3 linked regions of the Pelodiscus sinensis genome follow. The protein of the gene in region 2 interacts with the protein of the main gene of each other region in a biochemical or structural test. Links are inferred from orthologs where the notes say so. Each region holds a gene or a part of one and is shown on either strand. Other genes may lie near its edges.

Region 1 (3,820 bases), on a different chromosome or scaffold from region 2:
GGATCACTAGGGGGCAGTGCCCCTCCCTGCTCGCTACATTTGCCAACCTGCCTCTGTGCGGGTCGGCAGCCCCTGCCCTGGTTCTCCCTCAATCCCGGCCACCAGAGGTTGGGCTGGGCTGAGGACATGGCTGGCCCGGCTCTCTTCCCTCTGGCTGCTGGGGGGTTGGGCAAGGCCATGCGACTGGCCTGGCTCTCTTCCTCCTGCCGTGAGGCGGGAGGGTATGCAGCTGCCCCGGTTCTCTCCCTCCGGCTGTGAAGGGGGAGGGCACATGGTTCACAGCTCTCCCTCCCCGTAAGGGTGGAGTGCTCGTGGCTCTGGGGGAGCAGCACGATTTAAAACTCCAGCAGCTGCCCGCAACATGGTGGCTGCCAGAGGTACAGCCAGCCCCAGTCACAACTCAGGGCCAGGGTGTCCCACAGTCTGGGCCCCACTCCTGCAGCAGGCCGTTCTGCTGGCCCCCTCACCCGCTGCTGGAGCACCATAATTTTCCTCCTTCCCCCACCCCACACAAGCCTAGCAGCAGGAGCAGCTTATCTTCAGTGCTGCTGCTGCCTAGGAGCCATAGGTTGCTGATCCCTGCCGGGTTAGCAGTGGGGAGGAGGGAGGAAAGTAGGAGGCGGGGTGGTGGATGATGTCATGTCACTCAGTCATCCCACAGCAAAATATATATATATATATATATATATATATATATATAAATAAAAGATGAGCTTTTGTGAGTAAAACCTGCTTCATCAGATACTGTGGTGGTGGCTGGAGGTGGTAGGCCAGGGACCCTAGTGTGAGGGGGACTGTGGGTCCCAATTCAGGCAGATGAGGTTCTGGGAGATGACTCATCTGATGAAGTGGGTTTTACTCATAAAAGCTCATGATCATATTTATAGATTTTAATAGTCTCATAGCTATGGGCGAGTAGATTACACTAATTGTTGAGCCCTGCTCATAGCACCATCTAAACGTTTTGTTAGTCTTTAAAGTGCTACTAGACTATTTGTTGTTTTTTAAGTTTTTCCTGTTACTGATTAACTGAGCTACGCCTCTGAATCGTTAGTATCTGAGATGCCACAGGAGTACTTATTGCCTCTATCGATACAGGCTTTGTTCCCTTATGTATGGTAGCTGCACTATCCCCTGCTCACTGGGGTGCTGATGATGGAAACCATATATTTTGGGTTTATTACAATTTCAAGCCAGAGGCCTGCAGCACTCCTAGTTCCAATACCACTGCCTATAGATGCCAGTACAGATATTCCCTTCATCCCTGACAGATTGCTGTGGTGCACTTATCTCCCCTATAGAGTCCATGCTCTCTCTAGTCTGCTGCCTGCAGTAGGTATTAATATACCTATCTCATAGGGCTTGAAAGGGACCCTTATGGCAGGGCCAAGTACTATACCATCCCTGACCAATTTGCCCCAGATCCCTAAATGGCCTCCTCAAGGATTAAAGTCACAAGCCCGGCTTTAGCAGGCCAATGCTCAAACCACTGATCTCTCCCTCCCCTGTCTAACAACTTGTTCTGAAACTCACATACAGCACGCCCGACCGCGGGTCTAATTTCCCACCCACGATATCTGCCTCTAGAAATCTAGCTCCCACGGGTCAGCCCGCCCAGCTCACCGGTCCTTTCTTCCTGCGCCCGCCTGCACCGCCTCCCGTCAGCCCCCGGACTCGCTTACCGCCGCACTTCCCGCGTTACGGTGACGTGGGCGGGAGGAAGGCCGGGCTAGTCGGAGCGACAGCGGCGCAAGATGGCGGCCACCACGGGCTCGGGTGAGCGGGGCTCGGGTGGCCGAGGCCGGGCCGGGGAGGAGGGGCTCGCCGCCGGAGGCGGGGCAGCTGGTACCGGCGGACGCGGCGGTGACCGGCTTTGGCCCAGCGGGCTCCCGTGAACGGGGGCTCGCCGGCGGGGCGTGTCTGCTGGGGCGGCGGCGGCTTAGGGGCGCTAGGCCGGGAGCCCCAGTCCGGGCGTGTGAGGTTCCGAGCGAAGAGGCCCTGGGGGTGTCTGGGGACTGCAGGGGAAGGGTGACAGTGGGGTGCCGGCTGGAGATGGGGGTGCTGGGCTGGAGGGGGCTTCCTTGTGTGCTGGGTGCGGTGTCCATGGGCAGAAGGGCGTTCTGGGGGTGCTGGGCTGGAGGGGGCTTCCTTGTGTGCTGGGGTGCAGTATCCATGGGCAGAAGGGCGTTCTGGGGGTGCTGGGCTGGAGGGGGCTTCCTTGTGTGCTGGGTGCGGTGTCCATGGGCAGAAGGGCGTTCTGGGGATGCTTGGCTGGAGGGGGCTTCCTTGTGTGCTGGGGTGCAGTATCCATGGGCAGAAGGGCGTTCTGGGGGTGCTGGGCTGGAGGGGGCTTCCTTGTGTGCTGGGGTGCAGTATCCATGGGCAGAAGGGTGTTCTGGGGGTACTAGTTAGAGGGGGGCTGCCTTGTGTGCTGGGGTGCAGTATCCATGGGCAGAAGGGCGTTCTGGGGGTGCTGCCTTGTGTGTCAGGATGGGGCATTTTCGAGAACAGGGAGCATTCTGGATTCCATAACCTAGAGGAGGAATGCCATGTGTGCCAGGCTGGGTGTCTTTGCAGGGGATAAGGTTATGGGAGTACCAGGCTGAGAAATGGCAAGATGGTAGGTTGTCGGGAAAACCAGGCTGGAGGAGAATAAGGATGACTTGTTCCAAGTTGGGAGGATGTTCTTGACTGCTTCTCCTTTACCCTTAACCTGATTTCTTCTTCTCAAGCATTCAACCCTACTTTGTCTTTTATTCTTTCTGGCTATGTCTAGACTGGCCCCTTCTCTGGAAGAGGCATGCAAAGTAGGCAAGTCAAATAGGGAAATCCGCGGGGGATTTAAATATCCCCCACGGGATTTAAATAAACATGGCCGCCGCTTTTTTTCCGGCTTGGGGAAAAGCCGGAAAAGAGCGTCTAGACTGGCGCAATCCTCCGGAATAAAGCCCTTTTCCAGAGGATCTCTTATTCCTACTTGCAAGTAGGAATAAGTGATCCTCCGGAAAAGGGCTTTATTCCGGAGGATCGCGCCAGTCTAGACGCTCTTTTCCGGCTTTTCCCCAAGCCGGAAAAAAAGCAGCGGCCATGTTTATTTAAATCCCCTGCGGATTTCCCTATTTGACTTGCCTGCTTTGCATGCCTCTTCCGGAGAAGGGGCCAGTCTAGACGTAGCCTCTGAGTATATTCTTTCCAGATTAAAAGGGCTGTTGGAATAAACCTGAAGTTACTGAAGGTTGGTCGTAATTGGGCATTTGTATTGTCATCATAGTTATGAAAGTGAGGGGTGTAAAAAATCTGTGTACTTGAGAGACATAGCTATACAGGCAGTCCCCGGGTTACGTACAAGATAGGGACTGTAGGTTTGTTCTTAAGTTGAATCTGTATGTAAGTCGGAACTGGCGTCCAGATTCAGCCGCTGCTGAAACTGATCAGTTTCAACAGCGGCTGAATCTGGATGCCAGTTCTGGCTTACATACAGATTCAACTTAAGAACCCCAGGTGTCCCCAAGTCAGCTGCTGCTGAAACTGATCAGCAGCTGATTCCAGGAAGCCGGGGGCAGAGCAACTCTGCCTCGGGCTTCCTGTAGTCAGCCGCTGGTCAGTTTCAGCAGCGACTGACTTGGGGACGCCTGGGGCAGAGCAGCTGGGGTGCTGCCGGGTTGGTCCAGTAGCGCCGAGGAGCGGTGCTGCGGGACCAACCCAGCAGCGCCCCGGATGTTCTACCGTGGGCAGAAAAGCCTGGTCTGCTGGGAGGGAGGGGGCACTAGCTGAGCCCCCCCTCCAGCAGACCAGGGAGACGCGGAGCAAAGCTGCGGAG
Region 2 (3,600 bases):
GGCATGTTCCTTTCTTTAGAGTAGGCTTTAAGTTTTACTAAGCAGAGAGGCATAACTGAGAATGCCTACTATGAAAAGGGGACCAGAACCTCCTTTCCTGTCTCAAATGTATTGGAATTAGTATATCAATGAATTTTCCCCATTATAATTAAGTTGAGGATTTCATTACTTTGTATATTCTGATCTAAAAAGTAAACTCAAGACCAGAATTAGTACCTAAGCCTCCACATACCACTCCATGGAACACAATCAGATTAAAACTGGTAATTGGGTAAGTACTGCATAGTTTCACAAAGACCATATAATGTGCAACAAAAACCTTTATTAGCATACACTGTTCAGCATTTACTGAAACTTGCAGTTAACTTACAATATTAAGACATTGACGGGCTACAGTGCAAAACAAATGCTATTGGCAATCTTGTAAAGGAAGAGCCACAATAACTTAACAGCCACCTCTCAGACGCAGCACAAGATGGAGGGTGGACTCCTTCTGGATGTTGTAGTCAGACAGGGTGCGGCCATCCTCCAGCTGCTTGCCAGCAAAGATCAGCCTCTGCTGGTCAGGGGGGATGCCTTCTTTGTCCTGGATCTTGGCTTTCACATTCTCAATAGTGTCACTGGGTTCAACCTCTAGGGTGATGGTCTTGCCAGTCAGGGTCTTCACAAAGATCTGCATACCACCTCTCAGACGCAGCACAAGATGGAGGGTGGACTCCTTCTGGATGTTGTAGTCAGACAGGGTGCGGCCATCTTCCAGCTGCTTGCCGGCAAAGATCAGCCTCTGCTGGTCAGGAGGGATGCCTTCTTTGTCCTGGATCTTGGCTTTCACGTTCTCAATGGTGTCACTGGGTTCAACCTCTAGGGTGATGGTCTTGCCAGTCAGGGTCTTCACAAAGATCTGCATACCACCTCTCAGACGCAGCACAAGATGGAGGGTGGACTCCTTCTGGATGTTGTAGTCAGACAGGGTGCGGCCATCTTCCAGCTGCTTGCCAGCAAAGATCAGTCTCTGCTGGTCAGGGGGGATGCCTTCTTTGTCCTGGATCTTGGCTTTCACGTTCTCAATGGTGTCACTGGGCTCCACCTCTAGGGTGATGGTCTTGCCAGTCAGGGTCTTCACAAAGATCTGCATACCACCTCTCAGACGCAGCACAAGATGGAGGGTGGACTCCTTCTGGATGTTGTAGTCAGACAGGGTGCGGCCATCTTCCAGCTGCTTGCCGGCAAAGATCAGCCTCTGCTGGTCAGGAGGGATGCCTTCTTTGTCCTGGATCTTGGCTTTCACGTTCTCAATGGTGTCACTGGGTTCAACCTCCAGGGTGATGGTCTTGCCAGTCAGGGTCTTCACAAAGATCTGCATACCACCTCTCAGACGCAGCACAAGATGGAGGGTGGACTCCTTCTGGATGTTGTAGTCAGACAGGGTGCGGCCATCTTCCAGCTGCTTGCCAGCAAAGATCAGTCTCTGCTGGTCAGGGGGGATGCCTTCTTTGTCCTGGATCTTGGCTTTCACGTTCTCAATGGTGTCACTGGGCTCCACCTCTAGGGTGATGGTCTTGCCAGTCAGGGTCTTCACAAAGATCTGCATACCACCTCTCAGACGCAGCACAAGATGGAGGGTGGACTCCTTCTGGATGTTGTAGTCAGACAGGGTGCGGCCATCTTCCAGCTGCTTGCCAGCAAAGATCAGCCTCTGCTGGTCAGGGGGGATGCCTTCTTTGTCCTGGATCTTGGCTTTCACATTCTCAATGGTGTCACTGGGCTCCACCTCTAGGGTGATAGTCTTGCCAGTCAGGGTCTTCACAAAGATCTGCATGGTGAACTGTACAAAGAACGAGAAAAATGTTCAGCTTCCCATAATGATCAACTTGCTACAAAACAGGACAAAAACCCAGACCCCAAAAGCTTCCCACTAACACTGCAGTACAAAAAGTGACTCAAGATATGCCAGTAAAGAAAGTCTTGGAAATATTTTGGAGACACAAATCTCCCAGTCCTGTTTCCTGGAGTCTCAACACCAAGATGGTGCTGGCTTAAAGCACAACATCTCCTGCCCACAAAGGGAGTCTGAGCTGAGCAAGATCGAGCCTGGACCCAAATGCTCCCTCCCCCGCCCCCACCAGGGAACTAAGCGCGAGGCTTATAATGGGGGAGGGGAAGAAAAAAAACCGCGCGGCCATCTTCCCACCCCCACTCTCTGGGACTTTTACCGTCCCGGCCGCCCCGCACCCCCACGGCGGCTCGGCCCCATCCCCCTCTGCGCGACGGGCGCCGCTTACGGCATGTGGGGGCCACCCCGTTTCCCGCCCAGTCACAATGCGCGCCCGTGACTCGCGCCCTTCTCTTCCGGGAAGGCGAGCGAATGGCGCCGCGCAGCCCCCGCCATCTTAGGCCGGGGCCCCTCGCGCCCAACCGCCTTCCCCACACAGAGCAGGGCCGAGTTAATACCCCGCCGCGCGCGCAGGCCGCTCTCCGCGCCACTGTCCTCATCGCCCTCCCGCTCACATCCTGCCGAGGTGCCCCCCAGCGCCTACCGTTAGCCCGGACGCTCGTCTAGAAAACCGAAAAAATTTGCTTCACAAAGGCTGACTTTACCCCGCTACTACGAAACCGCACTGCTACAGGGTGTCTCCGCCCGCTCCTATTTATGGGACGGGTGACGCAGTCGACGCACGCAGTCACGCCCCGCTAGTATCAGTGCGCTGCAGAAAATAGTTCCCAGCGGTGGGCCTGCATCCAGGGGAAATAGGGGTCCTTCCTCCTCCCGGAACCTTTTTGGACGTCTCAAAGCTACGCCCTGTCCCCTTCTCGGCCAAATCCACCGCTCTCCCTCCGAATAACCGAAGTCTCCGAGGCGCGGAGGGATTTTTGCCACGGTGAGAAGGCTGCCAGACCGCTCTGGAAGCTTCGCAACCCCTGAGGACGGTAGGCGGGGTTCTGGCACTGATCGACACTGATTGGGTGCGGAGGGGGCGAGACTGGTCGTTGATTGGCTCCCAGAGGAGTCTAGGGAGAAAGCTCTGGAAGAGCCGGGGGGGAAGGGGCGAGCGGTGCTGGCCGCTGATTGGCGCGGGGTGAGGTAAGCCTTGTTGCTAAGGGGCGCGACTCGGTGGAGCAGATTTCGGGAGCGGCGCTGCCGCAGTGGGGGAGGGGCCTGGTCTCTCAGGCGGGAACCGTCTCATGCGGGGGGAGGGGGACTCCACAAGGGAGGCCAACGGCTCTGGGAGGGAGGGATGGCTACAGTGCCCCCAGCAGCCAGGTTGGGGAAGCCCCCCTCCTGCCTGGACCAGCGGCCATTCGTGCCAGGGCGAAGAGCATCCAGCCTCTTGCAGGGCCGGCTTCGCGGGGGGCTGTGCCTGGCGCCATTTGAACCGGGCGCCGCCACCCGACGGGCCGTGGGCAACCGAGGCGCGTGAGCAGGCGGCAGGAGCGGCTCGTCCTCTCAGGGGCCGCAAGACTGTCGCAAGCGAGGCGGCCTCCCGCGAGAGGGTAGTTTTGCCAACTGTGCCTGTGTCCCTGGAGTTGGCGGGATGAGCCGACGGACCCGTCGCAGCGCTTCGACCGGACGCACGCGGCTCTCACAATGGCCCGTGCCGT
Region 3 (3,820 bases), on a different chromosome or scaffold from region 2:
GTGGCCTGGCAGAGTGTGTTGCTCAGCAAGTTGGTGGCCCACCACCAGTACCCGGACCGGTGGTTGGGAACTGCTGATATAGCTAATACTTAGTCCTGAAGCAGTACAGGGAACTGGACTAGGTGACCTATCAAGGTCTCTTCCTGTCCTACATTTTATATAGATTCTGATTAACTTCCTCACAGAAAAAAGAAATAGGTCTTCCTTTGCATCAGGGAATCAATCGTTTTAGTTATCTGGATGCTCTTGCACCAAACTTGCAAAGGTTAATTTTTTCCCCAGTAGTGGCACTTCATGAACTCTGACAGTTTATCAGAAAGCCAGTTCTAGAGTCAAGATATTGGACAATGAAACTGTGTTCACCAAGTGACAGGCAACCTGGCTGCCCATCAGGTTATTGGCCTGGGAGGCTGATCAACCTGAAGACAAGGCTCGAGCCAGCATACAACAATTCAGAAGAACAGAGACAGACTCAGTAGTATCGATCAGGCTACAAACATGAGCATGGGCTTCTGAAGTAAGCAGCCATGTTGCACACGAAACACAACATTTTGGTGAATTTATTTGTAAAGTTGCTACCTGAGTTCTAGCAGAATCATCTCAACTGATTTAATGGGCAAGAGTTGTATTTCCTCTCCACAGTGGATGAATACATGTTAAAAATACCCATCACCTGTTCCGTCTACACCAGGCATAAAGACTTTGACTGTGCATATCCACTTCAATTTCAACAGTCTCTGAAAGAAGTTTGTGTTAGTACAGTTTCAACCAAAATAACTCAGCCCTCTATCCATATTTGACTTTTTGGCTTACTGCAAAGAAAACCTCAAATAAGAAAGTGGACCCACTACAGTAACTCTTCCTGTTTTAGTATCAGCAACACCGCATAACAATAACAGAACTTTCAATACATGAGGATGCTTACTATGTCACACCACATACGTATGTTAGCAATTATTTATTATTTTTTATAATGCTCAAAGCATGCTGGGTGTTAAGACTATTTGTGTATCTTTTGTGACATCTTCCTATCAAAAACCAGTATGTACATGGATTAAATAGGGATGGACAAAATCCCTTCCTAAAAAAGTGCCACAAGATCTCTAGATTATTCTATATGAACATACTCATTTAATAAAAGGATACTACAAAAGCCTAGTTGAGAAATTAACTTTGGCTGGACTCAAACTCTGAATTGGTGAATGTCCTACTAAACTAATTAAGAGGAGATAGTGGTTTAACAAAGTACCACTGAAAGATGTATTGGCAATCAACATATAGGCAGGAAGATACCTCGTGTATTAAAGATAAAAGTCTAGGAAATACAAGTGGGTTTGCAGGATTTCTCGGTTCAACATCTGATAGGATATGCACCCTCGGGAAAGTTAAAGTCTTGGTGCTTGTAAAACAGAAACAAGAATTCAGACCTTGGATAGCTTACTTAAGTACAGCTTAATGTGTTATATTCAAAGCTAGCAGTGAAGCCACTGAAAGACCACACGTGTATCAAAAAACAGAGGACTAACGATGACATGTTCTACCTACAATTACTAGGAAACCTAAGGTTAGATCAGTTTACTGAGACTGAGGGGTGGTGAAGTTTCCTACTAGACATTGGACATTGGTTCTTTTAGGGCAGACTTCATCACAAACAGCGAAAGAACAAAGAACGTTCTGCTCTTTCAAGCTGTATCTCTTGCCCTACCTGTTTTCGCATGGTATTCATGACTCCCATAAAGCTCGCCAGCAGCTTAGCTTCTTCTCGGGCGGCAAGTTTCTTCTCTGTTTTCTTCTTGTTGCTTTTTTCTGATGCAGAGGCTGCCATGCTCCCCTCCTCTCACCACTAAGAAAACAAGGGCTTGCAGGACCCAGACAGGCCCATGCACAGCAGCCAATGGAAGCAAATTATAAGACAGCCCAACGGCCCCAGCCAAGATCCCAGACTGACGAGGAGGTTGCACCGTCGCAGAATTTCCTGCTGCTTCTGCAACCAGGCAGCCCACAGGGCGAGCCGCTTGGGTAACCACCTGCCGCGGCAGCCGGAGCAGCAGGGCTGATCGAACCCCAGAAGCAGCCGCGGGGACAAGCAGCCCGTAGCGCAGACTCCTGGGAATGCAGCCTAGGGCCCGCCGCGTCTGCAGCGCTCCGGGGCTGGGGGCGCGCGATACATCTATTGCCAGCGTTCCATAGGTAGAACGCGAGCTCCTGAGGAGTATCCTACATAATTCTCAAAGGCGAGCGGACCGGCGCACAATGACGTCATAGAACAGCGCGGTGTCTCGTTCTAGTCTTCTTCGCCCCGCCCCTCCTTTGTTTGTTTTTCTCCGGAACGCCCGTCGCCTTCAGGCGTTCCGGAGAAAAACAAACAAAGGAGCAGGAGGCGGAACGGGTCATGTGATTGGTTTATGAACAGGGGCGAGCGAAAGGAGGGCGCACGCGCACGGCCGGCGGGACTGTTGCTGTCTTGAGGTCCCTTATAGGCAGGGTCGGTCGTAATGTAGCTGGTGTGTGCTCGCCTATGAGGCTGCGGGCTGGGAAAGTCGCTCTGCAAAGCCCGCGCTATCTGAGCTACTGCCAGCTGCAGAGCTTCGGAGGCAGTGCAGTGTTACGGGGAGAGGTAAAAACTAGTTTTTGATAACGGTTTTTGTTCCCAGCTCCCACAATCCACATCCTATTGCCTTTTATGGAAGAAGAAGAAAAAGTCACTACTTGGGCACTCACCAGTCCAGCCCAGAGCATCTTGGCACCGCACCCCTGCAGATAGGGAAATAGCCACATGGTAGTCTCAATCATGTTTGTCCTGCAAAGGTTAAGAACTAGGGTAGCTCCTTCTTAGCTCTCCTCCCTTTTTTTTAATCTAGCCTCAAAAAACACTAATCAGGGTATGCAAATACCTGTTTGTAAAGTTTTAGTTTCAGAGCAAAATCAAACCCAGAAAAGAACATGAGCTCTATTCTTCTGATATTTTGGTCCTAAGTGGTGAAAATCTCATAATAGCAGCTGACTTGGGTGATAGTGACCATAGTGGAGGACAAATCGAGATAAGAATATAAGAACGGCCCGACTGTGTTAGACCAAAGGTCTGTCTAGCTCAGTATTCTGTCTTCTGACAGTGGCCAATGCCAGGTGCCCCACAGGGAATGAACAGACTAAACAATCATCAAGTGATCTACCCATATCGCTGTTTCCCAGCTTCTGAAAAGGCTAAGGATAACAGTCCTGCCCATCCTAGCTAATAGCCATTGATGGCCTTATCCTCCATGAATCTATCTAGCTCTTTTTTGAATCCTGTTGTAGTTTTGGACTTAACAACATCCTCTGGCATGGAGTTCCACACGTTGACAGCGTGTTGTGTGGAGTACTTCCTTCTGTTTGTTTTAAATTTGCAACCTATTAATTTCATTTGGTGACCCCTAGTTCTTGTATTATGGGAAGGAATAAATAACTTCATTCAATTTTTTTCATACCAGTTGTGATTTTATAGACCTATATCATATGCCCCCTTGGTTGTCTCTTTTCCAAGTTGAAAAGTTCCAGTATTATTAATCTGTCCACATATGGCAGCCTTTCCATATCCCTAATCATTTTTGCCCATTTCTGAACTTTTTTCGATTTCAAGACATCTTTTTGAGGTGAGGTGACTACATCTGCACTCAGTATTCAAGATGTAAGTGTACCATGGATTTATATAACAAAGGCAATAAAATATGCTCTTTTTCTCTATCCCTTTCTGAATGATTCTTAACATTGCTTTTTTGGCTGCTGCAGCACATTGAGTGGATGTTTTCAGAGAACTATCCACAATCACTCTGAGATCACT

The links. The genes of interacting proteins can lie anywhere in the genome.
Region 1: the proteins of UBC (region 2) and UBE2V1 form a complex in vitro, tested with the Homo sapiens proteins (3 studies listed by BioGRID, with this or other methods). The link is inferred for Pelodiscus sinensis from reciprocal best matches to the Homo sapiens genes UBC and UBE2V1.
Region 3: the proteins of UBC (region 2) and KLHL7 form a complex in vitro, tested with the Homo sapiens proteins (2 studies listed by BioGRID, with this or other methods). The link is inferred for Pelodiscus sinensis from reciprocal best matches to the Homo sapiens genes UBC and KLHL7.

What each region holds. Positions count from the first base shown.
Region 1 is NC_134728.1:19,381,058-19,384,877, forward strand, and holds the start of UBE2V1 (ubiquitin-conjugating enzyme E2 variant 1), read left to right. Parts: upstream 1-1,620; 5' UTR 1,621-1,754; coding exon 1,755-1,776; intron 1,777-3,820. UniProt on the Homo sapiens protein: Has no ubiquitin ligase activity on its own. The UBE2V1-UBE2N heterodimer catalyzes the synthesis of non-canonical poly-ubiquitin chains that are linked through Lys-63.
Region 2 is NC_134731.1:3,492,026-3,495,625, reverse strand, and holds UBC (polyubiquitin-C), read right to left. Parts: upstream 2,697-3,600; 5' UTR 2,538-2,696; intron 1,826-2,537; 5' UTR 1,820-1,825; coding exon 446-1,819; 3' UTR 303-445; downstream 1-302.
Region 3 is NC_134712.1:199,306,124-199,309,943, forward strand, and holds the start of KLHL7 (kelch-like protein 7), read right to left. Parts: upstream 2,245-3,820; 5' UTR 1,826-2,244; coding exon 1,706-1,825; intron 1-1,705. UniProt on the Homo sapiens protein: Substrate-specific adapter of a BCR (BTB-CUL3-RBX1) E3 ubiquitin ligase complex. The BCR(KLHL7) complex acts by mediating ubiquitination and subsequent degradation of substrate proteins. Probably mediates 'Lys-48'-linked ubiquitination.